Anolis sagrei: one gene and its partners. The protein of the gene in region 1 purifies or fractionates together with the protein of each later gene. This does not show direct contact. Links are inferred from orthologs where the notes say so. Each region holds a gene or a part of one and is shown in the gene's direction. Other genes may lie near its edges.

The links.
Region 2: the proteins of SMNDC1 (region 1) and SF3A1 purify together in Homo sapiens (affinity purification with mass spectrometry; 3 studies listed by BioGRID and IntAct, with this or other methods). This does not show direct contact. The link is inferred for Anolis sagrei from reciprocal best matches to the Homo sapiens genes SMNDC1 and SF3A1.
Region 3: the proteins of SMNDC1 (region 1) and SF3A2 purify together in Homo sapiens (affinity purification with mass spectrometry; 4 studies listed by BioGRID and IntAct, with this or other methods). This does not show direct contact. The link is inferred for Anolis sagrei from reciprocal best matches to the Homo sapiens genes SMNDC1 and SF3A2.
Region 4: the proteins of SMNDC1 (region 1) and SF3B2 purify together in Homo sapiens (affinity purification with mass spectrometry; 3 studies listed by BioGRID and IntAct, with this or other methods). This does not show direct contact. The link is inferred for Anolis sagrei from reciprocal best matches to the Homo sapiens genes SMNDC1 and SF3B2.

What each region holds. Positions count from the first base shown.
Region 1 is NC_090023.1:209,886,367-209,893,444, forward strand, and holds the start of SMNDC1 (survival of motor neuron-related-splicing factor 30), read left to right. Parts: upstream 1-4,067; 5' UTR 4,068-4,176; intron 4,177-7,078. UniProt on the Homo sapiens protein: Involved in spliceosome assembly.
Region 2 is NC_090034.1:48,544,899-48,552,551, forward strand, and holds the start of SF3A1 (splicing factor 3A subunit 1), read left to right. Parts: upstream 1-4,646; 5' UTR 4,647-4,746; coding exon 4,747-4,809; intron 4,810-6,950; coding exon 6,951-7,063; intron 7,064-7,653. Other genes in the region: CCDC157 (coiled-coil domain-containing protein 157), read right to left, coding at 413-1,037, 1,702-1,876, 1,954-2,171. UniProt on the Homo sapiens protein: Component of the 17S U2 SnRNP complex of the spliceosome, a large ribonucleoprotein complex that removes introns from transcribed pre-mRNAs.
Region 3 is NC_090034.1:51,589,706-51,597,133, forward strand, and holds the start of SF3A2 (splicing factor 3A subunit 2), read left to right. Parts: upstream 1-4,492; 5' UTR 4,493-4,618; intron 4,619-7,428. Other genes in the region: PLEKHJ1 (pleckstrin homology domain-containing family J member 1), read right to left, coding at 354-421, 4,327-4,492. UniProt on the Homo sapiens protein: Component of the 17S U2 SnRNP complex of the spliceosome, a large ribonucleoprotein complex that removes introns from transcribed pre-mRNAs.
Region 4 is NC_090032.1:17,942,177-17,949,343, forward strand, and holds the start of SF3B2 (splicing factor 3B subunit 2), read left to right. Parts: upstream 1-4,149; 5' UTR 4,150-4,188; coding exon 4,189-4,309; intron 4,310-6,587; coding exon 6,588-6,634; intron 6,635-7,167. UniProt on the Homo sapiens protein: Component of the 17S U2 SnRNP complex of the spliceosome, a large ribonucleoprotein complex that removes introns from transcribed pre-mRNAs.

The sequences.
Region 1 (7,078 bases):
TTGTGGTGCCCAGAACTGGACACAATATTCCAGATGTGGTCTAACCAAAACAGAATAGAGGGGTAGCATTACTTCCCTAGATCTAGACACTATGCTCCTATTGATGCAGGCCAAAATCCCATTGGCTTTTTTTGCCGCCACATCACATTGTTGGCTCATGTTTAACTTGTTGTCCACGAGGACTCCAAGATCTTTTTCACACGTACTGCTCTCGAGCCAGGCATTGTCCCCCATTCTGTATCTTTGCATTTCGTTTTTCCTGCCAAAGTGGAGTATCTTGCATTTGTCACTGTTGAACTTCATTTTGTTAGTTTTGGCCCATCTCTCTAATCTGTCAAGATCGGTTTGAATCCTGCTCCTGTCCTCTGGAGTATTGGCTATCCCTCCCAATTTGGTGTTGTCTGCAAACTTGATGATCCTGCCTTCTAGCCCTTCATCTAAGTCATTAATAAAGATGTTGAACAGGACCGGGCCCAGGACGGAACCCTGCAGAACTCCGCTCGTCACTTCTTTCCAGGATGAAGAGGAAGCATTGGTGAGTACCCTCTGGGTTCGTCCATTTAACCAATTACAGATCCACCTCACTGTAGTTTTACCTAGCCCACATTGGACTAGTTTCCTTGCCAGAAGGTCATGGAAGGCTGACTTGCACATCTCAGAGACATTAACATATTGCCCTGTGAATAAGTGGATCGCCTCAAGGAAAGGCTCCATGGGAAATGCTTCTATGATTCCCAACCCCCAGACTGGTATTTTCCCTGAATGTTTAAGAGCCATTTAAAAGGGATTTTCTTCACTACTAAATCTGTCTGTGTACTCTCTTGAGATTGATTCATAAACTCTATACAACTTCATTCATAATTCTTACATGGTAATATGTTCATAGATAAAAATATAACTGTGTTCACTGATGATGTGTAGGGAGATGTGTGCTTATTTGATCCAGTGCATAAGTCCTGGATGAAATTAACACCTGTTAAATAATATGTCTGTTTGTGTACCTGTTAAATAATATGTCTGTTTATGTCTGGTTTCCCATTCATTGTGAAGCTAAAACCATCATGTAGGGTTTTTCCAACTTATTGATAGGATTCAGAGTTATCTGCTCCTGGGGATGGGCACACAGATTGCCAGTGTATATCTTCCATTGAGCCGTTACATCAACATAACTGACCATTGTGTTCACAGGACACTGTTTATAAACTGGACTGAGGAATTAACCCGATATATTAACAATTTTTCCATATTTTCACACCTCATTCTGAAGGTCTACATATCCCTTGGGGGCGGACCTTTAAAAGGACCCACACTTCAAACCAATGAATGACAGCTCCTTAAATTTCCGGCCACCAGGAGGACCAATCACTGGACTGTGGGTGTTATGAATAGTTGTCAAAAGTGTACAAATGTTCTATATTTTGGATTGGGATAGGTCAGTTCTTTGAGTGCAGACTCTATTCTGACCTCCAAAAGAACAAACTTCTTGTTGCCTAGTTTGTTTTAATCTGACCTTCGGAGTAGTGAAGTGTGCCAAATTCCAAACACCAATCTTTAGTGGATAGCTGAAATCACTCATCATATCCACATTATATCTTTTTAACTATCATGGCTTAAAGAATCCTGTGACATGCACTTTGATGATTACTTCATATTTTCTTATTTATCTCAGGATTATGCACCAGAGCTTAATTCCTACTACTCATTACGAAACTATAAACTCTTGGAGTTCCATTGGATGGAGATTTTAAGCTTTTGTATTAAATTTCAACAGGTACAATATGTACAATATCATGGTTGCATAGTAGAGCAACAAGTCACAATCTAAAATCTTACTTTATCCCGATGATAATTTTTCAGGTTAAAAAACCACCCTGGTTTTTACATATGAATTTTAATTGGTTAACCAAATTCCCATGCTAAGTCTATGGGAAGCAAATAAACGAGCCCCTCCAGAACTGCAAGTACTATTTCAAGCAAATTTTGAGTTTACTCACATGCCATTACTTGCAGCAATAGCCAATATAGTGGAAACAACCAAGTTGGGACACCCATAAATGGCAAGCAAAGCCTAAGGCATTGGCCGGGGGGGGGGGGGCAGGATTTGAAGGCCCTCTTGAAGGAGACCAGACCTGGTGAGGGTGGTTGACAGGGGAGGAGCTGCAGGCTATTTAAGGCTGCTCTGTCCCCCTGCTGTGCTCTTTGCCACAGCTTGAGGTAGGAGGCAGGTTCCTAATAGACCTTTTTCCCCTTGCTCCCCCCCTCCCCACTTTCCAGATACTACGATTCCCATTGCTATGCCTATGTATAGATTGTTTTCAACTCTTAAATGTTTGAAAACATACATAAGCAGCAAATGGGGCAAGAAAGATTGATTGGACTTGCACTCTTGAGTGTCCACCAAAGTCTATCAATGGAGCCTGATTTCTGTCAAAGTGTATTGACACACTTTTCAAATGTTTCCAGCAGACGTAGTATTCTTTTGTAACTATACACTACCAATTAACAGTCATTTTCCGTTATTTTAAGACTCGAAACTTTGTAACTAAAATAGAAAATTGATTTAATTAAATCTATATAAAATGTACTATAGAATGAACTATACTATTTAAATCATTTTATGTTATGGAACTATTCTTTGTGATTCACTAAAAAAAATTCAACCCCCCTCCCAATTTTTAATGGTCCCTCAAACTGGGTAACGTTTAGGGTTTAGGTTAGAGTACAGGTTAGGGTAAGGTTTAGGGTTTGGGTTAGAGTATGGGTTAGGGTTTGGGTTAGCATACAGGTTAGGGTAAGGTTTAGGGTTTGGGTTAGCATACAGGTTAGGGTTAGAGTATGGGTTAGGGCAAGGTTTGGGTTAGCATACGGGTTAGGGTAAGGTTTAGGGTTTGGTTAGAGTATGGGTTAGGGTAAGGTTTAGGGTTTGGGTTAGCATATGGGTTAGGGTTAGAGTACGGGTTAGGGCAAGGTTTGGGGTTTGGGTTAGAGTACGGGTTAGGGTAAGGTTTAGGGTTTAGGCTAGAGTACGGGTTAAGGTAAGGTTTAGGGTTTAGGCTAGAGTACGGGTTAAGGTAAGGTTTAGGGTTTGGGTTAGAGTATGGTTTAGGGTTTGGGTTAGCATACGGATCAGGGTAAGGTTTAGGGTTTAGGCTACAGTATGGGTTAGGGTAAGGTTTAGGGTTTGGGTCAGTATAAGGATTAGGGTTTAGGTTAGAGTACGGGTTAGGGTAAGGTTTAGGGTTTGGGTTAGAGTAAAGTTTAGGTTAGTGTACGGGTTAGGGTAAGGGGTTAGGCTTAGGGTACAGTTCAGGGTTAAAGTAAGGGTTAGGGTTTCTCTATTAAAGAACTCTTACATTCCCCTTCTATATTATCTATCTCCGGCCTGGCTTACATTAGCTAAGTTCCTCTGGCATAAGCAGCGCTCCTAAAGAACGATATGGCACCTAAACCTTACCCTAACCCGTACTCTAACCTAAACGCTCGGAGCTTCCGGACTCAGCTATCATACTATTTCCAAGGTTTTCCCCTGACTTTTAGTCTAGTCGTGTCCAACTCTGGGGGTTGGTGCTCATCTCCATTTCTAAGCCGAAGAGCCGGCACTGTCCATAGACTCCTCCAAGATCGTGTGGCCACCATGATTGTATAGTGTGCAGTTACCTTCCCGCCGGAGCAATACCTATTGATCTACTCATATTTGCATGTTTTCGAACTGCTAGGTGGGCAGAAGCTGGGGCTTATGCTGCTCCCCGAATTCGAACCTGCGAATTCATCAGCTCAGCGGTTTAACGCCACCGGGGGTTCCAAGGGGAAGGGGGGGCAGAAAACAGGGAAAGAAGGAAGGAAGGGGAAGGATAAAAGAAAGAAGGGGGAACTTTTATGGTTCAGAAGCGGAAGCAAGGGAAGCACGCGCGCTCTTGTATACAAACACACACCACGTGACAGCGCGGATCTCTCTCTCTCTCTCTCTCTCATCCCGCCTCCCTTCGGCCACCTCTCGCGAGAACGCTCATTTCCGGCGACGGGGGGAGAGGGGCGGGGTTTACGTGCGTCGTCGCTAAGGCGCCCTTCAGGAAAGGGAAGCGCTCCTACGTAACGTAACGTAGCGTGCCGTGCGCAGGCAGGCAGGCCAGGCAGCTTTCCGGCGTCGAGAGGCCCTCCTCCGCGCCTGAGGCCAAGGTGAGCGAAAGCGGGGGGCGGCCTGGCCGGGTTTCCACCGGCCTGTTGTGCCGCCAAGGTCGTCCGGTCCGGGCCTGAAAATCCCCCTCCTTCCTCGCAGTTCCCTCCCTCCCTCGCTCTCGGCCTTCCTTTGTGAGAGGCGCCTCAGCTGCTTCTCCTTGGCCTGCAGGCCCTTGCGCGCCTCCTTTCTTGCATTCTTAATTTTTTCTTTCCCTCCTGAGATATATATATATATATCCCAATCCTGATTCTTCCTTTCCGTAGGATGTACTGCCTTTATCGGGCATCACCAGTGTTACAATCATACAGGAAGAGGGCGGGAAAAAAAGGAGGACGTGAGAGTTACAGGCCGACATTTTGTCAAACTGTGTTGTTGTTGTTGCCGCTAGACCATCTTAGCAGACAAAAACAATATCTTTTTGTGATTTCTAACATATCGTTATTATTATTATTCTCTTACATGGTTTTTATCACTCTTGAGTCAAAAGATTGCATGGCATAGCCTGAAACCATCTTACTTTCTTTCCACCCCAAATCATTGTTGTGAACGTTGTTTATTAATATTAACCAGCTACGGTCTCTTATTTCCCAAGGAACAGTTTATCCCTCTTCTACACTGCCATATAATCCAGATTATGAAAGATAGTTATACCCTTTATCTGATTTGAAGAGAGTTCTCTACTGCCATATTATCCAGTTCAAAACTGATAATGTGGGGCCCCTTCCACACAGCCATATAACCCAGAATATCAAAGCAGATAATCCACATTATCTGCTTTGAACTGGATTATATGAGTCTACACTGCCATACAATCCAGTTCAAAGCAGGTAATCTGGATATTACAATGTAGAAGGGGCCTTAGAATAGGTCTGAGGTTGTAAAGCAGGGGTCTCAAACTAAGGCCCGGGGGCCAGATGCAGCCCTCCAAGATCATTTACCTGGCCCTTGCTCAGGGTCAACCTAAGTCTGAAACGACTTGAAAGCACACAACAACAAGAACGGAAAAAATGATTTTAGTGATGAGACACTGATGACTTGTGTTGTATGTTTTTTATTGTTTTATTGCCTTTATATGGTTTATATTATATGTAATGTTTTTAGCTGTGTTTTATGTTATTTGGGGGCATTGACTGCCAACTGTAAACCACCTCGAGTCGCCTTCGGGCTGAGAGGGATGGTATATAAATATGTTAAACAAACAAACAGATAAATACATCTCAGCACCCAAAAGTATTATTTATTTATTTATTTACTTCGCTTATATACCGCAATTCTTAGCCCAGGGGCGACTCACTGCAGTGTACAACATAGAAAAACAAGTGCAAAATACAAGACATAATGTAAAATAATCCACAATTCTTCATTATCAAAAACATCCTCATCAAAAACATCAACATTACTACAAAAGCCATTCCGTGTCGTCTCATCGTCAAACCCACAATCCAGTATCATTTTCCGATGTTCCATTCCTATGGTCAAATTACCAGTCATTGCACTTCCCACACTCCACATTGAAATACTAATAATTTTATATTTGTTAAAATTGTTCTTCATTTTAATTATTGTATTGTTTTTAAGTGGCTTTTTTTGCACTACAAATAAGATATGTGCAGTGTGCATAGGAATTCATTTAAAAAATTTTCAAATTATAATCCAGCCCTCCCAACAGTTTGAAGGACTGTGACCTGGCCTCTGTTTAAAAAGTTTGAGGACCCCTGTTGTAAAGTGAGACATTGACACAGCTTTCAAGACTATCATTGGAATACCACTTTCATTGCTGTTTTTCAACGTACTGTCTCCAAATGTCAGCCCAGATCGATGCAACAATCAGGAGTGTTTATTATTTTTGATTGATATGCAAGTTGCTACCCTTCCTAAAAATGGAACAAAAACTATGGTAGTGCACAGACTGGTAACTTGAAGTTGGACTTCTATAATGCACTGTGCATTAGGCTACCTCAGTATCAACTTTGGAAACCCCAATTAGTTCAAAATATGGCAGTCAGATAGGTTACAGGGACATCTAGGTGTGATCTTATCACAGCTATATTAAAATCACTCCAGTTGATTTCTGGGCAAAGTACAAAGTGTTGTCCCACACAATAATAGTAATTGTAAAACAATTTTAGAATATTTATGTCATAGATTGTTTTATTTTATGTGTTTGTTATTTGTACTGTTTTTAAAGTGCTGTGAGCCATTTTGGGTCTCATTCAGTGAGAAAAGCAGAATACAAATAAAATATTATTATTATTACTACTACTACTGTATAGCATAACATCATATTGTGAAAAAATGTTTTTGAAGACCATGTGAGAAGTGCAACCTCTATGTAAGGATGTGATCTAAATATTATGCAGGAACAGTTAGATATCTCTTCCCTGTGTTAATAATGTTGAGGGATTGTGTGCATGGTTCTAGTGTGGTTAACAAGCTAATAGCCATATCGTATCCTGGTATGTCAAGAGCTTTTTACAGTGCATCTACATTGTATAATTAACACAACTTGATACTACTTTGATTACCATGGCTCAATACTATGGAATCCCAAGAATTGTAGTTGTACAAGGGCTTTCTCCTCTCCCAAAGAGTGCTGGTGCCTCAGTGAACTAAAACTAAAGTGGTGTCAAGCGGAATTAATTCTACAGCATAGATCATGTAAAATTAATTCCCTCAGTATCCATAGACTCAACTATCCATGGCTTGAACATTTTCCAGGGGAGGGGATAAAAAAGCAAACCTTTGTTTCTATTTATTTTATCTGTACTTTACTTTTCTCCCAAAATGAGACTTGTCAGGCCTGTCACTAGTAACTAATACAGTCCTGAAACTTTGGATTATGTCTGGATATTAAGTTTTTAAAGACAAATTATGGCTTGGGTGTATACCTCAATTTACTCA
Region 2 (7,653 bases), on another chromosome or scaffold:
GGGACCCAAAACGGCTTCCAACATGTTAAAAATACAACACAAAATCAACAATGATCAAAGACACAGATATAAAACAAAATAAGCAATCAGTAAAACAAATAAGCATTTAAAAACAATATACATATGGGATATATCTTGGAGATGAGACCTAAGATGAAGAGCAGGAGATATGGGATATATCTTTCTAAGTTTGTTATTTTGAGTTGTTCTATAAGTACACCTGATGTTGTTTATTTTATTGCTTATGATTTGATCTGTTACATCAGTATTGAAAGTTTGCCAATTTTCTGTTGTAAACAGCCCTGAGTCCCCTCAGGGAGATAGGGCAGTATAGAAATAAAGTTTATTATCATTATTCTCTTGGAGATAGGACCCAAGGATGGTGATCACACAATCCTTGGTGTCTACTCACTGTTCTGGAGATCTTCCTTTTCCTTCTCCAACCGTCCCACTCGTCGTAAGCTCTCCTTGTGCTTCTTCTCGAATGACTGCTCAGCCTCCTTCCTCTGTTGCTCTTGGGCTTCCTTCTCCTCCTGAAGGCGGACCTCCAAGTCCTCCACCTGCTTCTGGGCAGCTTCCAGCTCTCCCTTCAAAGGGCCCACCAACTCTGTCAGTGTCCGGAGGTGCTTGCCAATCCGGGAAATGTCCTTGCTCTGCTCGGCGGCCCAATAGTCAATGTCCACAACGGACAGGGCTCTGCCCCCAAGGGTCTCCTCTGCGGTCTTGAGGAACTTGCCCAGAGATGATGGGAGGTTTTGGCCTTCGCAGAGGCCGACAATGGCACGGCCCACTTCCTGGAGGCTGGTCTGGGCCTTCTCGCAGGCTTCACAAGGCACTACGGGCGGCTCAGTAGTTAGAGAAGGGATACAGTTGGGGAAGTGTCCATACATTTGCCCACTGGCAATTGACGAGGTCAATGAAGAATCCTGCATGCCCAGTATGGTAACATCTGACTCCGATTGTTGGGAGCAAGAGCTTCTGGTCCGTTTGCTCTCTGCTTGTTCTCTGCTAGAAACATCCTCTTTGTTGCCTTTTTTCTTGGTTAAGAGATAAAAGCAAGATATAAATAAGTAGGAGGAAGAGAAGGAGAGGAGGGGGGAGAGAAATAAAAGAAGGAGGAGGAGGAGATTGAAGAGAGGAGGAGGACAAGAAGAAAAGGAGAAGCAAACGAAGGGAAAGGAGAAGGGAAAAGAACGAAAGTAAGTAGAAGGAGGACAAGATGGTGGAGGAGGAGGAGTAGAAAGAACAGGAGAAGGAGACAAAAAAGGAAGAGAAGGAGGAGAGGGAAGAGGAGGAGGAAAAAGAAGAAGAAGGAGAAGGAGGACAAGGTGGTGGAGGAGGAGGAGTAGAAAGAAAAGGAGAAGGAGACAAAAAAGGAAGAGAAGGAGGAGAGGGAAGAGGAGGAGGAAAAAGAAGAAGAAGGAGAAGGAGGACAAGGTGGAGAAGGAGTAGATGGAAAAGGAAGAGAGGGAAGAGGAGATAGAGGAAAAAGAAGAAGGAAAAGGAGTAGAAGGAGGACTAGGTGGAGAAGAGGAGTAGACAGAAAAGGAAGTGAAGAAGGAGAGGGAAGAGGAGATGGAGGGGGAAAAGCAGGAGGAGGAAAGGGAGAGAGAAAAGGAAAGGGAGGAAGAGAAGGAAAAGATGAAGAGGGAGAAGAGGTATAATTGGCTTCTGAGGTCTGTATGCAAAGCATGTCCCTACCTCCATCACCAGCTGCTGGTAGAGATTCCCCAGTTTCACCATGCTGTCCCAGTATGTCCTCACCGCCAATCCAACAGACATGGAAGGCCCCATTGCTCCGGATGGGGAGGAAGGAGCTCCTTCGCTGATCAGGTTCTCCGCATATTCCGTGAAGCTTTGGAAGAGCAGCAGCAGCCTCAAGGGAGCAGAAAACAAATCCTAGTTATCCTCCTTGGCTTCCAGGTGAGTTCTATCCTTCGGACTGTTCCTCACCTGTCAATGATGAGCTCCAAAAGGAGGACATGGGAGCGCTGGGTGAGTTCAGGATTGTTCTCCGCAAAGCCGTAACGCTCCAGCAAGGAAACCAGGTCCAAGTCGCAGGAGGCCTTATCCGGAAACTTCCACGAAGGACACCGGATGGGTCTGGATCGGGAGAAGACATCAATGACTGTTCCCTGAAGCTCAACGATGTCCCTCTGCAGGCTCTCCATGTTCTTTCAATTGACCAGGAAGGCCACCATCACAAACAATGAGGCATTGATGTTCCTGGAGCAAAAGAAAAGCTTCAAAATGAATTATTATTATTATTATTATTATTATTATCCTATATTTCTCTTTTGATCAAGGCACTAAAGTGACCACCATTATTGTTGTTGTTGTTATTAACTAATACCTTAATTTCTCTCTTCTAATCTTTGGATTGACTCAAAGCAAACACAATAATAATAATTATATTTATATTTATATTTATATTTTATCATGTCATCCGCTACCAGAACATTGTATTACATTCCTAACAGAACAAAACAAACAAACAGATAAAAAAAAACCCCACAAATTTTGCAAACTTGGCAGCTGATTAAATGTCCTTTGACCAGTATCTGGCCACCTGGAGTGCCTGTGGTGTTGCTGCAAGAAGTAACCAATCTTATACACCAATCTTCTCTCTCAATTGAGTCCCAAAGCAGCTAGTCATCATGTTGTCGAAGAGTTTAATGGTCGGAATCACTGGGTTGCTGTGAGCTTTCTGGGCTGTCTGGCCATGTTCCAGAAGCATTATCTCCTGACGTTTTACACCCACATCAATGGCAGGTATAATTAGAGGTTGTGAGGTCTGTTGGAAACTAGGCAAGTGGGGTTTATAGATATACCTGTGGAATAATGTCCAGGGTGGGAGAAAGAACTTTTGTCTGTTTGAGGTAAGTGTAAATGTTGCCATTGGCCAGCTTGATTAGCATTGAATAGCCTTGGAGCTTCAAAGCCTGGCTGCTTCCTGCTTGGGGAATCCTTTTTTGGGAGGTGTTAGCTGGCCCTGATTGATTCCTGTTTGGAATTCCCTAATTTTCTGACGGTTGTTCTTTATTTGTTGTTATGATTTTAGAGTTTTTTTAATACTGGTAGCCAGATTTTGTTCATTTTCATAGTTTCCTCCTTTCTTTTGAAATTGTCCACGTGCTTGCAGATTTCAATGGCTTCTCTATGTAATCTGTCATGGTGGTTGTCTGAGTGGCCCAGCATTGCTGTGTTCTCAAATAATATGCTGTGTCCAGATTGGTTCATCAGGTGCTCTGCTATGGCTGACTTCTCTAGTTGGATTAGTTTGCAGTACCTTTCATCTTCCTTGATTCGTGTCTGGGCAATGCTGTATTTGGTGACCCCTATGTAGACTTGTCCACAGCTGATTGGTATACGGTAGACTCTGGCAGAGGTGAGAGGATCCTTCTTGTTCTTTGCTGAACCTAGCATTTGTTGGATTTTCTTAGTGGGTCTGTAGATTGTTTGTAGATTGTGTTTCTTCATCGGGGCCAGCTAACACCTCCCAACAAAGAATTCCCTCAGGCAGGAAACAGCCAGGCTTTGAAGCTGCAAAGCCATTCAATGCTAATCAAGCTGGCCAATGGCGACATTCACACGTGCTGACAGACAAGAGTTATTTCTCTCACCCCGGACATAATTCCACAGGTATATATATAAACCCTGACAACCTCTGAGCATGCCTGCCATAGATGTGGGCAAAATGTCAGGAGAGAATGCTTCTGGCACATGGCCAGACAGCTCGGAAAACTTACAGCAACCCAGTGATTCCAGCCACAAAAGCCTTCAAACAACACAATAATACAATACTATAATATATAATAGGAATATTGTAATATAGTAATACTAATATATTAACTATAATTGCTACTGATAATATATAATTATAAGATACACTGATTTATTGTATTTTTGTATATTTTAAGTTTTATGTTTTTGAATCTCCATATGGAGAGATATAGAGGGATATAAATCAATAAAATATATAATAACACATTACATTATAAAATATATAATAGAGATATAATTAATCATCATCATCATGTTAACATTCCTGTTTTGTCCAATAGAATAATAACAGTGGGTATTCTGGACTCAGACCCAGCTGCTTTGTCCAATGAAGAGGCCTTCTGAGGGAAGAAGTCCAAAAAGCCTGGAGCCCAAGATTGGGAAAACACAACTCTAGGACTATGTATAGAAATAATATATTCAAGAAATGCTTCGTATTCATGTTTCATCCTTAATTGGCTGAATGGCTCATTTAGAAAACGGCACGCCGTTAACTGTGTGTAGTTACCTACGGAATGCCCGCCTCTTACTGCTAGCAGGCTTCTTCTCGCGTTCTAGGCCTCGGCTGCTGCCATGGCAACGAAGAACGCTTCCCTCGCTCCGCCCCTTTTATTATAGAGAGCATAACATACAATTGATAAAAACTTCCGGAAAGGGGAGTGCATGTACCTAAAGGGGGCGTGGCTATGGTTACCAGGAGGAGGGGGCGTTGAAAGGGGCGTGACTTCCCCGTGCAGCTGGGATTGCAAGGGGAAGGGGAGCGCATGCGCTTAAAGGGGGCGTGACTACGGGTTTCCAGGAGGAGGACGTTTAAAGGGGCGTGGCTATCCCCGCACAGCCCCCTCCTCTTGTGGGCGGGGCTGTTACTGGCTGCGCGCGCACCCGTCGCCATTTTTCTCGGTCCTATCGCAGCTGTTGGCGTCTTTCTTCTCCGCGGTTGTACTCCGGAGCGAAGTGAGAGTCATGCCGGCGGGGCCCGTCCAGGTGATGGCTCCGGCCCAAGCCACGCCGCCCGAGGCCAAACAGGTATTTCTTGCTCGGGAAGAAAACGACTCTTTTCCCCCTTTAACCCACCTCAAGGCAGAGCCGCCATTCCCATGATGCATTGCGGGGCGAGGGGGGCTTTTCCCAGGGCGCTTTGCGCGAGGGACTTGAGGGCCCCCGTGGGATCATATACACACCTGTATTATATATTATACTAGCTTGAAAGGGGCATTGTTTGTCTTTGGATGTTCGGTGGGGTTCAAAGAGATCTCTGAATATGGGTGAACTACAACTCCCAGATTTCAAGGTTAATCACTCCAGAGTCCACCAGTGTACAAAGTTGGCCACGTTGGATCTGTATGCCGAGCCTGGTCCAGATCCGTACTCGGCTGGGTGCAGTGCTCTCTGGATAAAGGTGAACTACAACTCCAAAATATCCAGGTCAAATCCCCCAAAATTATTATTATTAAGTTATTATTAAACTTTATTTGTACCCCGCTAGCATCTCCCGCAGGACTCGATGCGGCTTACAAAGGCCAAGGCCTCAACACAACAAGAACAAAACAATAACAATACCATTTAGAGTAAATTAAAACATAAGCAATAACAAGACAATACATCAATTACAGAATAAAAAACCAGGGCCAGGCCAGTGATGGGTACAGGTTAAAAAGTGCTGGGTGTGGCAGGTGGTATGTTGGATTTCCGGGCAAGTGCAATGCACAGAGAGCCTTAAACTCGAATAAAGTGCTTCTGGGACATAGTGCTGGAGATTATCCTATTCCAGAAAGGCACATCGGAATAGCCAGGTCTTCAGATTCTTCCTGAAGACTGCCAACATGGGTGCTAGTCTAATATCTTTGGGGAGGGTGTTCCAGAGTTGGGGGCAACCACAGAGAAGGCCCTGTCCCTCGTCTCCAGCAAACACGCCTGTGACACAGGTGGGATCGTAAGCAGGGCCTCTCCGGATGAACAAAGGGATCACGTGGGTTCATACACGGAGATGCGGTCACGCAGGTAGGCAGGTCCCAAACCGTTTAGGGCTTTGTAGGTAAGCACCTGCACCTTGAATTGGGTTTGCTAGGTAAACGGCAGCCCAATAGAGCTCCTTAAACAGGAGGGTTGATCTCTCTCTGTAAGGAGCGCCAGTTAACATCCTGGCCGCCGCCCGTTGAACCAGTTGGAATTTCCGAGCCATTTTCAAGGGCAGCTCCACGTAGAGCGCATTACAGTAACTTCTCCAGAAGTACACTGGCAGCAACAACGTGTGTCAACCAGTGTAACAGCAAGGCAAAACATTCACATGGAACAATCAGAAAGAAAGATCAGCGTTTAAATGGCAGAAGTACAAAGATGTGGCAAGGAAGCACCAAGCGAAGAGCCAGAAGCCTCCTTTTCTTCTTCCTACTTCCCTCATTCCAGCCCCCCTCCCTCTCTCCATGAAGCCAAACAAACCAGGAATAAAAACCACACAAAACCAACTAACCACAAATTCCTCAAAGTGGACATGAGCACAAGGCATGAAGGCTGCTCTCTTGAAGCCCTGGCACTTGTTCTTAACTGGAAACATTGCTTGTGTGTCAAAGCAAAACCAGGGCCGAGCAACAATTCTTAATTCTAAATGCTCCTAAATACTCCTAAGTTGGGGCACTCTTAAGTAGAGATTCCACTGTATATATTTTTGGCTGGAGTTAAAAATGTGTGTGTTCTGACTTACAAACAAATTCAGCTTCAGAACAAACATACGGAACTGTTTTGTGTGTAACTTGGCGGCTGCCTGTTATAGCATTGTTGATGTTCACAATGTGGATGGTATTGATATAACTTATTATTGTCATTATTATTATCTAGTTCAGGAAATGCAGGTTCTTGTCCACTGGAGGGCCATGTCCTTGGCTGTTTGTTATCATTGTGATTAATCTTGCTGTTATTAATTCTTCACATTGCTGGAACTGGAGGCTGCTTCACCCGCAGTTAAATGTGTTTAGAATAACAGAAGAAGATACACAGGCTTAGAGACAAATCCTTAAAAAGAGTCTTGGCCTGGGATTGAGGAAAATGCATGTGCCCACTCACCCACCCCCTGCCATGAATTTCATGGATGGCTAGAAGTTATTATGTTGTTGATGATTATGATGATTCAGTTCTGTCCCACCATTTTGTTATGTTAATTCTCATTGCAGCCAGAAGATGAGCCAAAAGAGGAGGCAGTGCCCGCCAAGCCGGTGGTGGGCATCATCTACCCTCCGCCAGAGGTCAGGAACATTGTGGACAAGACAGCCAGCTTTGTGGCCAGGTGAGTGTTAGTCTTCTGTTTCATAGGAATCAATAAAGAGGACAGTTGTGGCTATGTCTGGCTATATGAAATTATATATATATGATATTAAAATATTCTATTTAAATGCACCATATTTAAATATATGACCTATAAGTGACAAGTATGTAGGTATGAAGGGGCAGTTTTAATCTCAGTGGGGAGGGAGTTCCAAAGTTTTATACAAATAAATAGAAAATATTTTATATTGTATGTTTTGATGCTATTGCAAACCGCCTTGAGTCCGTTGGAGAAAGACAATCTGGAAATTTCCTAAATAATAAGTTAATAAATGTTATTTAAATACAATAACAATAAATGACACATTTCTAGTATATATAGAGTTTAAGTACGTGTTTTTATAGTCATTTATGTAATTTTTTATTTTCAATGTTGTGCTTACAGGAGAAGTGGTATGAAGGGAGTGGTCTCAAATGTTGTGTATATTTTTGAAAACCAAGTGAAAACATTAATAGAAAAATAGATATATTGGGAGAAAAATTAAGTGAATAATAATAATCATAATAATGGGTGGGGAAAAGGGGGTTACTTGCTCTGCATTTGGGTGAGAT
Region 3 (7,428 bases), on another chromosome or scaffold:
TATTATTATTATTATTATTATTATTATTATTACTACTACTACTACTATACCTGCCTCTCCCAAAGTTGGCTTACACCACACAAGTAAAGCAGAACAGATAAAACATAAAGATATTCAAAAGGCATAGAATTTATTATTATTATTGTGCTGTTGAAGGGTTTCATAGCTCGAATCACTGGGTTTTCCTGGCTGTATGGCCGTGTTTCAGAAGCATTCTCTCATGTTTCGCCACATCTGTGGCAGGCATCCTCGGAGATTGTGAGGTTTGTTGGAAACTAAGCAAATGGGGTTTATATATCTCAGAAAACTCACAGCAACCCTATTATCATCATCATCATCCCCACTGATTTTACCTCGGCTTCGTCCGTACGAAAATAAAAGAGGAAGTTGACCACCAGTTTCACCAGGCGCTTCTTCAGGGCTACAAAAAGAGAGACATCCAAATTGAAATATTAAATCAATAATAATATAATTATAATAACTTTATTTTTATATCCCGCTACCATCTCCTTGAAGGGACTCGGGGTGGCTTACGCATGGGACAGAATGTCCACAAGACATAAAAGCAAAAACAATCTATAAAACTACATACATTAAAAGCATTGTAAAATACAACAACCCAAATAAAACACACATTAAAAATATTAAAAAGCATAAAACATTGCATCAAAGCCCGTCAGATCAGGCTCAACAAAAACTAATGAGCAAGCTAACTAAAATGGGCATGAAAAAGATAAAAAGGGGCTGGGCAAGGAATAGTGCAAATAGTATACATAGGAAGTGGATAGATGTAGAACTGTCTAGCAACCTAGGGGCTGGGCCTACATCACTAAGGACTAGTCATTCTTGAATGCTCGCTGGAACATCCAGGCTTTCAGATCCCTACAAAAAGGGGACAGTTTGGGGGCTTGCCTAATCTCCCTGGGAAGGGTCAGGGGGGCACAACCAAGAATGCCCTCCCTCATCTCTACCAGCGTGCTTGTGACGGTGGTGGAAGCGAGAGGAGAGCCTGCACAGCAGATCTTAGAGATCATACCAGTTCTTAGGGGGGATACGGTCACGAAGATAGGAAAGACACTAACTGCTTAAGGCATTGTAGGTCATAATCTGCACTTGAATTGCAACTAGAAACCTATCAGCCGCCAGTGGAGCTGCTTTAATAGGGGCACTGTGTGCTCCCTATAATTAGCTCCAGTTAGAAGCCTGGCTGTCGACCTTTATACCAGCTGCAGTTTCTGAGCAACTGGTACAGCCCTACGTAGTGTGCATTGCAATAATCCAATATTGAAGTAATTAAGCCATGGATCACCGTGGCCAAATCCGGCTTCTCGAGGTATGGTTGCAGCTGGCGCACAAGTTTTAACTGTGTGAAAGTCCTCCTGGCCATCGCCGACACCTGAGCTTCAAGTGTCAGCGCTGAGTCCAAGAGGACCTCCAGACTGCAGACCTGTGCCCTCAGGGGGAGTGTAACCCCGTTGAGCATGGGCTGCCATTTTATACCTCTATCAGCATCATGACTGACCAGGAGGACCCCTGTCTTATCTGGATTAAGCCTCAGTTTGTTGGCCCTTATCCAGACCATCACAGCTGCCAGACACTGGTCCAAGATCTGAGGGGCTTCCTTGGATTTAAATGGAAAGGAGTAGAATTGTGCTTAATTTGCGTACAGATGGCACCAAACGCCAAAACTCTGGATGACCTCTCCCTTTCATGTAGATGTTGAAAAGCATGTGAGATAGAATGCAACCTTGCGAGACCCCACAGGTCAATGTCCAGGGATCCGAACAGGGGTCCCCCAGCATCACCATCTGGGTGCGATCCTCCAGGAAGGAGTGGAGCCACTGCGAAGCAATACGCCCCAAGACCCATTCCAGAGAGCCGACTCAGAGCAAGACCATGGTTGATGGTATCGAAAGCTGCTGAGACATCCAAGAGAACCAGCAGGGAAACAAACACTCCCCCTGTCTAGCTCTCTGCGGACGTCACCCACCAAGGCGACCAAAGCCGTCTCTATACAGTGACCAGGCCTAAAACCAGACTGTGATGGATCAAGATAATCGAGTTGAATGAGTTCTGTTTAATTTTAATACTCCCCATGTTTAATTCTGGTTTAAATGTTTACTTGTTTTTGGCTTTAAAATGTAGACTTCTATTTATTTTATTATACTTTTTGAAACATTGTTGGCTGCTCTGAGAGAGAGAAAAGCGAGATATAAAACTAGAAATATTATTAATATATATTATTGGTAATAATAATGTATAAATAAAAATACTCAAATAAAATAAACCCAGGCCACTCAATGCTGCCGAGCAGGGGTCCCACAACATCACCATCTGGGTGCAATCCTCCAGGAAGGAGTGGAGCTACTGCAAAGCAGTGTCTCTCCCTTTCATGCAGATGTTGAAAAGCATGGGAGATAGAATGGGACCTTGCGGGACCCCACAGTCAATAGACAGGGATCCGAGCAGGGATCCCCCAGCATCACCTTCTGGATGCGATTCTCCATGAAGGAGTGGAGCCACTGCAAAGCAATACCCCCAGGACCCATTCCAGAGAGCCGACCCAGAGTGAGACCATGGTCAATGGTATCGAAAGCTGCTGAGATATCCAAGAGAACCAGCAGGGACACACTCCCCCGTCTAGCTCCCTGAGGAGGTCATCCACCAAGGCGACCAAAGTCGTCTCCATACAGTGACCAGGCCTAAAACCAGACTGTGATGCATCAAGATAATCGGTTTGAATGATCTTCTGTTTAATTATAATACTCCAATGTTTAATTCTGGTTTTAATGTATTGTCGAAGGCTTGTCACACACACAGATAGATATCTACATAAAAACTCCAACCATCACCCAAGTAAAAAAAGAAGCACCATTAAAGCCTTGGCAGACCGTGCAAAAAAGAATCTGCGAACCCCACCTCCTTCAAGATGAACTGAACCACCTCAACTGGGCTCTACAGGCCAATGGAGACTCCACCTCAGACATCAGAAGAGCTGCAAGACCAAGAACAAGCCACAAGAGTAAAGATGAAGATCCACCCAGAGGAAAAGTGTTCTTGCCATACATCAAGGGAACCACTGACCGCATAGGGAAGCTGATGAGGAAACACAACATACAAACAATCTACAGACCCACCAAGAAAATCCAACAAATGCTACGTTCAGCAAAGGACAGAAGGGATTCTCTCACTTCTGCAGGAGTCTACTGTATACCATGCAGCTGTGGACAAGTCTACATAGGGACCACCAAACGCAACGCCCAGACACAAATCAAGGAACATGGAAGGCACTGCAGACTACTTCAACCAGAGAAATCAGCCATAGCAGAGCACCTGATGAACCAACCTGGACACAGCATTTTATTTGAGAACACAGAAATACTGGACCACTGTCACAACCACCATGTCAGACTACACAGAAAAGCCATTGAAATACACAAGCATGTGGACAATTTCAACAGAAAGGAGGAAACTATGAAAATGCACAAAATCTGGCTACCAGTATTAAAAAACTCTAAAATTGCAACAGCACAACAACAGAGAGGAAGCAGGCAGGGACATATAATTACCTCTCAACAAAAGTTTGCTCCAGGTACAGTCAGGCCATTATATGCTAATCAAGGTGGTCAGTTGAAACATTCACACCTAGCTCCAGCAGATAAGAGTCCTTTGTCCCGCCCTGGTCATTCCACAGATATAGAAACCCTTTTTCCTAGTTCCAACAGACCTCACTACCTCTGAGGATGCTTGCCATAGATGCAGGCGAAACGTCAGGAGAGAATGCCTCTAGACCATGGCCGTACAGCCCGAAAAAACCTACAACAACCCTCTGGTTTTAATGTTTACATGTTTTGGCTTTAAAATGTAGACTTCCATTTATTTTATTATATTTTTTGAAACATTGTTGGCTGCTTTGAGAGAGAGAAAAGCGAGATATAAAAACAGAAATACTATTAATAATATATATAATTGGCAACATATAAATAAAAAATACTCAAATAACATAAACACAAGCCACTCAATGCTGCCTAGGCAAATATTCCCAATCCTACATGAAATCTGTAATATTTCTGAGGATTTAAAGGCCACTCAAGTTTCTAGTCCAGAATAGGAAAGGGAAAAGCCTCCCAAAAGGTAGTACTACTTGAGAGGCGTGGCCTGCGGCGTGACGTCACGCGACACCGCCCTCGCGACTCGAATGGGCTGTTTCCCTGAGGGGCGTGGTTTGGACCGTGACGTCACGAGGCTGGTCCCTCCCTGTGCGTCGTGACGCCGCCGCTTGGTCTCTGTTCCCCTCCCCCCTCCTTATTCTCTCTCCTCACTCACGGCTTCCCTTCTTGGGCGCCCGCATGAGCACCTCGGCGGCTTTCTCCGCCGGCTGCCGCGAGAGCGAGAGCAACTCCCGCTCGTTGAACCGCATGGCCGACGCCCCCCTCTCGCGGTAAGAGGCGCTGCAATAGTCCCACTTCCGCTCCCGGCCTCTTCTCGACATCACTTCCGGCGCGCGAGCCTGAGACGTTTTGGCCGGAAGTGGATCCTTGAGCGGCGCGTTTGGCTTTTTCCCGTGCTCTTTCTCTCTCCCAGAGAGGAGAGGAGATTGAAGCGGGGCCGAAGCGGGGTAAGCAATGGCGTCCTGAGGGTCTAGGGAAGGGTTCCAAACCTTTGGCTTCAACCAATGTTGCTCTATATCTTTGCCTGGTTTAATTGCATGTATTGGCCTCTTGAGGGTTTATGCCAGGCATGGGCAAACTTGGGCCTTCCTCCCGGGTGTTTTGGACTTCAACTCCCATAATTCCTAACAGCCTCAGGCCTTTTCCTTTTCCCCCTCAGCCGCCTAATTGTAGTGCTCGCCAAATCAGTTCATGGGAAATCCGATCAAATGCTTTTTCGAGATCAAGGAATACAAAGTTCAGTGGTTTCCAACAAATCAGTACATTATTATTATTATTGTTATGGCCAGAGTTAACTTCACACTTGCACAGCCTCAGCGCGTTCCAGCAGCTTTCCTCCTGCTCAGAAGATTTTTCAGTCTTCTGCTTCCACAGTAGATACTTGAGCACATGCCAGGCCATTATCCAGTTTTTACCATTGTCTTTCCCCCAGTTTAGATGATATTACATACTCACAGACTCACCACAGTACGCACTATCTTGTCCAAGTAGACAGGTTCTTTTATAGTCTTTGACGAATAACAGCACAACATCAAAGGAAGGGGAATATACATTGTACATGGTTTCCTTATATACAATACATTTACAATACATTTACTCCTTGATTGCTTACCAACTAATTGACCCAACCCAAACCCAGGATTGTGTCATAGACAATCACTCTGAGTAGGCAAAAACACATTTCCCAAATGATTCCCCACATACAATCAATACATTCTCAGCATTCCCAACAGAAGCCCATTAACCCATTAGCAGTGCATGACTCAATACATAGTAAAACCTAACAATTATTTTATTATTAACTTTATTTGTACCCCGCTAGCATCTCGCGAAGGACTCGATGCCCCTTACAAAGGCCAAGGCCTCAAAATACAACATAACAATACAAAACCTAAGCAAATTAAAAACAATTAAAGCAATATTAACAACAAGCAATAAACAATACACCAAGACACAATAAAACTGGGCCGGGCCAGAGTAATGGGTACAGAATTAAAAGTGCTGATGTGACAGGTGATATGTAAGGATTATAGGGTAAGTGCAGTGTGCAGTATGCAACAATCTTAATTCTAATAAAGTGCTTCTGGGACTTGGTATTGGAGATTCCTAATCTGGGAAGGCACATCGGAACAGCCAGGTCTTCAAGTTCTTCCTAAAGACTGCCAATGTAGGGGCCTGTCTAAGATCTTTGGGGAGGGTGTTCCAGAGTTGGGGGGCCACCACAGAAAAGGCCCTGTCTTGCGTCCCCACCAAACGCGCCTGCAACGCAGGCGGAATCACGAGCAGGGCCTCTCCGGATGAACGAAGTGAGCTCGTGGGTTCATAAACGGAGATGCGGTCAGGCAGGTAGGATGGTCCCAAACTGTTTAGGGCTTTGTAGGTAAGCACCTGCACCTTAAATTGGGCTCGGAAAATAAACAGCAGCCAGTGGAGCTCCTTGAACAGGAGGGTTGACCTCTCTCTGTAAGCAGCACCAGTTAACATCCTGGCCGCTGCCCGTTGGACCAGTTGGAATTTCCGAGCCGTTTTCAAGGGCAGCCCCACGTAGAGCGCATTACAGTAGTCCAATCTAGAGGTGGCCAAGGCATGGACCACCCCGGCCAGATCAGCCTTTGCGAGGTACGGTCGCAGTTGGCGCACAAGTCTCAATTGTGCAAAAGCCCTCCCGGACACCGCCGACGCCTAAGCCTCAAGCGTAAGCGATGAATCCAAGAGGACTCCCAAACATATAAAAACATAATACAGATTAAAACATTAAAGAATATAAAACACCACAAAAGTAATAAAAACAACATCATTAGCGTCTCATTATTATCAAGCATTGTCCAGTTCCATTGTCAAATCGTTCAATTTCCTGTATTAGCTACTCTGCATTTATAAATGCGTGCTCGAACAGCCATGTTTTAACTTGCCTCCGAAACGTTAAGAGGGAGGGAGCAGATCTAATCTCCCTAGGGAGGGCATTCCATAGCCGAGGGGCCACCGCTAAAAAGGCCCTGTCTCTCGTCCCCGCCAAACATACTTGAGACAAAGGCAGGACCGAGAGCAGGGCCTCCCCAGATGATCTTAAAGTCCTTGATGGTTCGTAAAGAGAGACACGTTCAGACAGGTAAGTTGGGCCAGAACCATTAAGGGCTTTATAGGCCAAAGCCAGCACTTTGAATTGGGCCCGGTAGCAAACCGGCAGCCAGTGGAGCTGGCGCAACAAGGGGGTTGTATGCTCCCTGAGCGCCGCTCCTTTTAGCAACCTGGCTGCTGTTCGTTGGACTAGTTGAAGCTTTCGGACCTTTTTCAAAGGCAACCCCACGTAGAGAGCGTTGCAGTAGTCTATACGGGATGTAACCAGAGCGTGGACTACTGTGGCCAAGTCAGACTTCCCAAGATATGGGCGCAGCTGGCGCACAAGTTTTAACTGTGAAAATGTTCACCTGATCACTGCCGAAACCTGAGGTTCCAGGCTCAGCGATGAATCCAGGATCACTCCAAGCTGCGAACCTGCGTCTTCAGTGGGAGTGTAACCCCATCCAACACAGGCTGAAACCCTATGCCCTGTTTGGCCTTGCGACTGACCAGGAGAACCTCTGTCTTGTCTGGATTCAATTTCTTTTCCCAATGATTTTCCATGAGTAACCGGACAGCATATATTGCATCTATTGTGCCACACTCCCTGACAAAGCCACACAGATTTGGTGTAATGGCTGTGTGTATATATATGTGTGTCTGAATATATAATAGTAAATAATAATAAATTTGGCCA
Region 4 (7,167 bases), on another chromosome or scaffold:
AGACATTTTCATCAGGCTTGACTGCTGCTTCTCTCCTTCCTCCCAAACACTGCTGCACAACATTTAATTCGTTGCTTTCATATTGTTATGTAGAATGTTATTTATTTTTTAATTAAATAAGGTACGTTTTCCCAACACAGTTTGTCAGCTGGGTTTAGCTCTGTCGGGGCCACTACAAATGGGTTTTGAATGCATGCAGGTGATGTTCAGCTCTATAACTCTTTTCCACCTGCTACTATGGTCTTGAACTGGTGCTTGGCAGCTGCGATGGTCTGGATGAGGGTGAACAAATTGAAATCGAATCCAGACAAGACAGAGGTCCTCCTGGTCAGTCGCAAGGCCGAAGAGGGCATAGGGTTACAGCTTGTGTGCCAGGCATGTAGCCGGGGGGGGGGGGGCCTTTGGGGGCTTCAGCCCCCCCCCCCCGAAATTCTCATGATGGTCTGCGAAAAGGCCTTACTGGTACATTATTTAAACTGTTATGTTTATTCATATCATGATCTGATCACCATGCTCAATATACAGAGGCGGCCCTATTATTTTTTTATTATTTATTTTATTTGCTTTACTTCTATACCGCCTTTCTCAGCCGAAATGGCGACTCAAGGCGGTTTACATAGTAAAGGTCAACACAACAACAACAAGAAGGCAGTTAAAACACATTATACAAAACATCAGGTCAAAAACAATCATAATCCTAGATATATGCCTCAGCAAACAAATCAGAATCAGAATCCGTAATCATAATCCTTTATACCAATTCCTGTGATCAATTGAACCGTATTACTGTATTTCATTGCATTTTTTAGCCAAACGCTTGTTCGTAAAGCCAAGTCTTGACTTTCCTCCGGAATGCCAGAAGTGAAGGGGCCTGTCTGATGTCCACAGGTAGGGCGTTCCATAGCCGAGGGGCCACCACCGAGAAGGCCCTGTCTCTCGTCCCCGCCAACCGCACCTGCGATGCAGGCGGGACCGAGAGCAGGGCCTCCCCAGACGATCTTAATGTCCTGGGTAATTTTCAACAGTAAGCAAACAGTATTTTGGCACCCCCCCCCCCCCCCCGCCAACCAATCATTGATATATATTTTCTATTTGTCGTGGGAGTTCTGTGTGTCATATTTGGTTCAATTCCATCATTGGTGGAGTTCAGAATGCTCTTTGATTGTAGGTGAACTATACATCCCAGTAACTACACTTGCCACACTTGCTCCCTTGCCTGGCCCGCTTTGGGTCCGGAGGTGTGCCTGAAGACTCCGGCGTGTGCACCAAAAGTCACCTCTTCTCCTGACTTTCTCCTCAGCCATTGGAACCGAGAGAGAGAGAGAGAGAGAGAGAGGTGGAGATGCCCACCTTTCCTAAAGATGCAAAAACAAAGGAGGGAGCGGAGGTGGGAGATACCTCCAGCCGGAGGGGCTCGCTCTCTCTCTCTCTCTCTCTCTTGGTCCCAATGCACGCTGGGGTCTTCAGACACGCCTCCGGACCTGAAGCGGGCCAGGTGCAGCGGCTCCGCCCCTTGGCCCACCCACGGATTGGGAAGAGGAGAGGAAGCGGGTGGAGCGCCGGGGGATCGGGAAAGAGGGCCGGTCATGGGGAAGGGATCAAACGCGGAGAATGACTGAGCGCCGGTTCTGTTCGCGCACCGAGTGGCCGGGTGGAGCAGGAACAAGAGGGATAGGCGAGGCTCAAGGGCCCAGCCCCTTTGGGAAGAGGATCGCCCAGCAGTGAGGCAAGAAAGCCAAGGCTCCCCCAGACTGCTAGGGCTGTTGTGAGCTGAAGGGGCGCTCCTCAAGTGGCAGTCGAGGGGCACTTACAGAGGTGCCTCTGCGCCCCTGGCAAAAAAAAGTGTTCTGCGACCGCTTACTTCGCGTAATGGACGAGCCGCCCCTGCCAATATATCTCATATGCATGGGGGTATTGGGGTAACGATACAAAAGGTTTGCTAGGGTAGACCCTCTTTCACTCAGACCCCCCCCCCCCAATCAAACTCAGCCCCCCCCCCAATCAAAATCCTGGCTACGGGCCTGTTGTGTGCGATACAAGAAGCTCGGCCTGTCATTGAACATCGAGAAAATCAAAGTGCTTTTCCAGCAGTCACCAGGCAATCCCTCTCCAATGCCAGAGATACAGCTTAATGGTGTAACATTAGAAAATGTGGACCATTTCCGCTACCTTGGCAGCCACCCCTCCACAGAGGGCCTTTTCAGTGGTGGTTCCTCGACTCTGGAACTCACTCCTTAAAGACATCAGACAGGCTCCAACTTTGGCAATCTTCAGGAGGAACTTGAAGACGTGACTGTTCCAGTGTGCCTTCCCGGAATAATGATCCCATAGCACTTTGTCCTCCAAAGCACTTTACATTTTCTAAGTCTGCTCGTATGCCCTTTCATAAACACCAGTATCACCTTCCGTTCATGTCCCAGCATATTTCCAATTTTAACTTTACATTTGGCTTCCCCTCTGTTTTTAATTGTGTGTTGTTTTATTGATAATGTTGTTTATTTTATTGTCTATGTTTTTAAATTGCTTTATTGTTGTTTTATTGCTTGTATTGTTGTGTTTGGGCTCGGCCTCATGTAAGTCGCACCGAGTCCCTTGGGGAGATGGTAGCGGGGTACAAATAAAGTTAATAAATAAAAAATAATAAATAAAAAAGCCAATAGGATTTTGACCTGCATCAATAGTATAGTGTTTAGAACCAGGGAAGTCATGTTCCTCATGCTCTATTCTGCCTTGCTTAGACCACACCTGGAATATTGTGTCCAATTCTGGGCACCACAATTGAAGAGAGATGTTGACAAGCTGGAATGTGTCCAGAGGGTGACTCAAATGATCAGGGGTCTGGAGAACAAGCCCTATGAGGAGCGGCTTGAAGGCTGGGCATGTTTAGGCTGAACAAGAGAAGGCAGAAAGGAGACATGATAGCGATATATAGATATGTGAGAGGAAGTCATAGGGAGGAGGGAGCAAACTTGTTTTCTGCTTCCTTGGAGACTAGGACGAGGAACAATGGCTTCAAACTACAAGAAAGGAGATTCCATCTGAACATTAGGAAGAACTTCCTGTGAGAGCCGTTCAACAGTGGAACTCTCTGCCCCGGAGTGTGGTGGAGGCTCCTTCTTTGGAAGCTTTTAAACAGAGGCTGGATGGCCATCTGTCAGGGGTGATTTGAATGCAATATTCCTGCTTCTTGGCAGGGGGTTGGACTGGATGGCCCATGAGGTCTCTTCCAACATGAGGAAGAACTTCCTGACTGTGAGCGCCGTTCAGCAGTGGAACTCTCTGCCCCGGAGTGTGGTGGAGGCTCCTTCTTTGGAAGCTTTTAAACAGAGGCTGGATGGCTATCTGTCAGGGGTGATTTGAATGCAATATTCCTGCTTCTTGGCAGAATGGGGTTGGACTGGATGGCCCATGAGGTCTCTTCCAACATGAGGAAGAACTTCCTGACTGTGAGCGCCGTTCAGCAGTGGAACTCTCTGCCCCGGAGTGTGGTGGCTCCTTCTTTGGAAGCTTTGAAACAGAGGCTGGATGGCCATCTGTCAGGGGTGATTTGAATGCAATATTCCTGCTTCTTGGCAGAATGGGGTTGGACTGGATGGCCCATGAGGTCTCTTCCAACATGAGGAAGAACTTCCTGACTGTGAGCGCCGTTCAGCAGTGGAACTCTCTGCCCCGGAGTGTGGTGGCGGCTCCTTCTTTGGAAGCTTTTAAGCAGAGGTTGGATGGCCATCTGTCAGGGGTGCTTTGTCCTCCTGTTCAAGCAGCTGAGGGGGAAAAGGATGAGGTCTGAGGCTGTTAGGAATGATGGGAGTTGAAGTCCAAAACACTTGGAGGGCCCAACTTGGCCCAGGCCTGGTATAGGCCTAGACCTACTCCTAGGCCCCAATCCTTGATCTTTCCCTGCCCTTCTTTTTCTCCCAACCCCAATTCGACTTTGTTATTCCATTGCAATCCTATCCCAAAATCCCAAAGACCAACACACCCTAAGGCAGCTTCCCTCAACTTCTGTTTACCTATTAGTCTCTACTGCGCATGCGCAGAGTTGAGTTTCCCTCCCCACGGTTTACAAACTCCTCCCGCTCCGTCATTGGCTACGCGGGTTTTGACGTTGTGGCTCCTGATTGGTTCAGAGGAGCGCATCGCGTCATTCTACGGTGGCCGCGCGGTCTCAAGCGGGGAAGGAAAAGCAAGATGGCGTCGGAGGTGCACTCTGAGCCTCCCAAGGCCGGGGAGCTCCCGTTGCCAGGCTACGCGGCTTGGTCGCCCAACGAGCTGCAGGCCAAGCTGGCTGAGATCGGGGCGCCGACGCAGGGTGAGAGGGAGGGCTTTCGGTTGGGCCTCGGGGACTGGAGAGCGGGCGGTGGGGGGTGTAGGCCTTGAATGAGGCCTAGCAGCAGGGGCTTTGGTTGATTTAGTTGTCGTGTCAGGGCAACCAGTCCATTAATTCACCATTATCTTCAAGGCTATACAACTCCTTATCTCGGCCCAGCTGGGCCGGATCAGTCTGGGAACCGAAAGGAGTCTCCACCAGCCACTGCCAAAAGGGACAGAGAGTTTCATCTATGCGGACGATCATGCCATCACCGCTCAAGCAGGGAGCTTTGAAATAGTTAATCAGAAGCTCTCTGAAGCTTTCAGTGCTCTCACTGCTTATTATAGGGAAAACCAGCTGATTCCTAATCTATCTAAAAGGCAGATGTGCTTTTCAACTTAAGAACAGACAAGCATCTCGGCTATATGTATAACTTAACAACTTATACGCATGTTTAGACTTCAGCCCCATTTCCAGTATATTTTATTACGCATATATATGCTGCAACAGGTAGACCAAAATCGTAAAAATATACAAAATACTTCTTATCTCAGCATTTTGAATAAGGTATTGGCAAACTGAATCTATTATATAAGATAATGTATTAATATAATATAATGTATATACATGTCATATTTATAATATTATAATGTAATGCAATATAAGACTAATAATTTATTTATTTGTCGTGTCAGGGCAAACAGACGAAATACAAAATTTGCGGGTTTGGTAGTTGATTAAATGTCCTTTGAGCAGTATCTGGCCCCTTGGAGTGCCTCTGGTGTTGCTGCAAGAAGGTCCTCCATTGTGCATGTGGCAGGGCTCACATTGCATTGCAGCAGGTGGTCAGTGGTTTGCTCCTCTCCACACTCGCATGTCGAGGATTCCACTTTGTGGCCCCATTTCTTGAGGTTGGCTCTGCATCTGGTGGTGCCAGAGCGCAGACTGTTCAGCGCCTTCCAAGACGCCCAGTCTTCTGTGTGCCCGGGGGGGAGTCTCTCATTTGGTATCAGCCATTGGTTTGAGCCTGCCACTTTTGGACTCTCGCTTGCTGAGGTGTTCCAGCGAGTGTCTCTGTAGATCTAAGAAAACTATTTCTTGATTTAAGACGTTGAAGTGTTGGCTGATACCCAAACAAGGGATGAGCTGGAGATGTCACTGCCTTGGTCTTTTCACTATTGGCTGCTACTTCAGGTGGTGCAATACCAGCTAAGCAGTGTAATTTCTCCAGTGGTGTAGGGCGCAGACACCCCGTGATAATGCAGCATGTCTCATTAAGAGCCACATCCACTGTTTTAGTATGGTGAGATGTGTTCCACACTGGGCATGCATAGTCAGCAGCAGAGCAGCACAGCGTAAGGGCAGATGTCTTCACTGTATCTGGTTGTGATCCCCAGGTCGTGCCAGTCAGCTTTCGTATGATGTTGTTTCTAGCACCCACTTTTTGCTTGATGTTCAGGCAGTGCTTCTTGTAGGTCAGAGCACGGTCCAGAGTGACTCCCAGGTATTTGGGTGCGCTGCAATGCTCCAGTGGGATTCCTTCCCAGGTGATCTTCAGAGCTCGGGATGCTTCTCTGTTCTTGAGATGAAAGGCACATGTCTATGTTTTGGATGGGTTGGGGATCAGCTGGTTTTCCCTGTAATAGGCAGTAAGGGCACCTAGAGCTTCGGAAAGCTTCTGTTCTACCATCCCAAAGCTCCCTGCTTAAGCAGTAATGGCATGATCATCAGCATAGATGAAGCTCTCTGTCCCTTCTGGCAGTGGCTGATCATTTGTGTAGATGTTGAACATGGATGGAGCAAGCACGCTCCCCTGAGGCAGGCCGTTCTTCTGTTTCCACCATCTGCTTCTCTGGCCCTGGAACTCAACAAAGAAGCTCCTGTTTTGTAGCAGGTTTCCTATGAGGCGGGAGAGGTGGTCATCCTTTGTGATATTATACATTTTTCTCAGGAGGAGTCAGTGGTGGTTCACAGTATCATAAGCTGCTGACAGGTCTATGAAGACAGCTCCTTTGATCTGCTGCCTTTCAAAGCCATCTTCGATGTGCTGAGTCAAGTTCAGCACTTGCGATGTGCAACTTGCTGAGGTGTTCCTGCAAATATCTCTTTAGATCTTAGGAAGCTATTTCTTGATTTAGGCCTTGCCATGCTGATAGTATGGTATGGGGGTAGTGCAGTCCCTGGGTCCAGCACCTGCCATGCAGGAATGCACACTCCTGGGAGGAAGCCATTGATCCTCAGTTTAGATGAGCCAGATGACTTCTTTGTTTTCTTCTAGGGAGTCGTGAGGAGTTGCTGGATCGGCTGAAGACATACACGCTTCAAGTAAGTCCTTATTTGTTATGGCCAAAAAATTGATGCCTTAGACCTTATTATAATTCTTAATTTGCCCACCATTGTGCTTGGGAATAAGAAAGAGTTACACAATTGATAATATAATGTAATACAATATGTTACTAATAATATTACAGTATAATGTTATAGTACAATGTAATATATAATAATTATATAATATATAATGTAATATAATAATAATAATAACAATATGATATTATAATTATATATTTATATTACAAGTAATATTACTAATAATATTACGATATATTGATATGGTACAATATAGCAGTGTTTAATGCTTATATTGTACTATGCTAATAATGTAATATAATGTATGTAATATATACCTTGTAAGCCGCTCTGAGTCCCCTTTGGGGTAAGAAAGGCGGCTTATAAATGTCATAAATAAATAAATAAATGCACTGACCTTTTTTGAGGTGAGATGGAATCTCCTTGTCTCCTGTGCTATTCTAATAATATAATATATATATACATATAATATTTATAATATTGTAATGTAA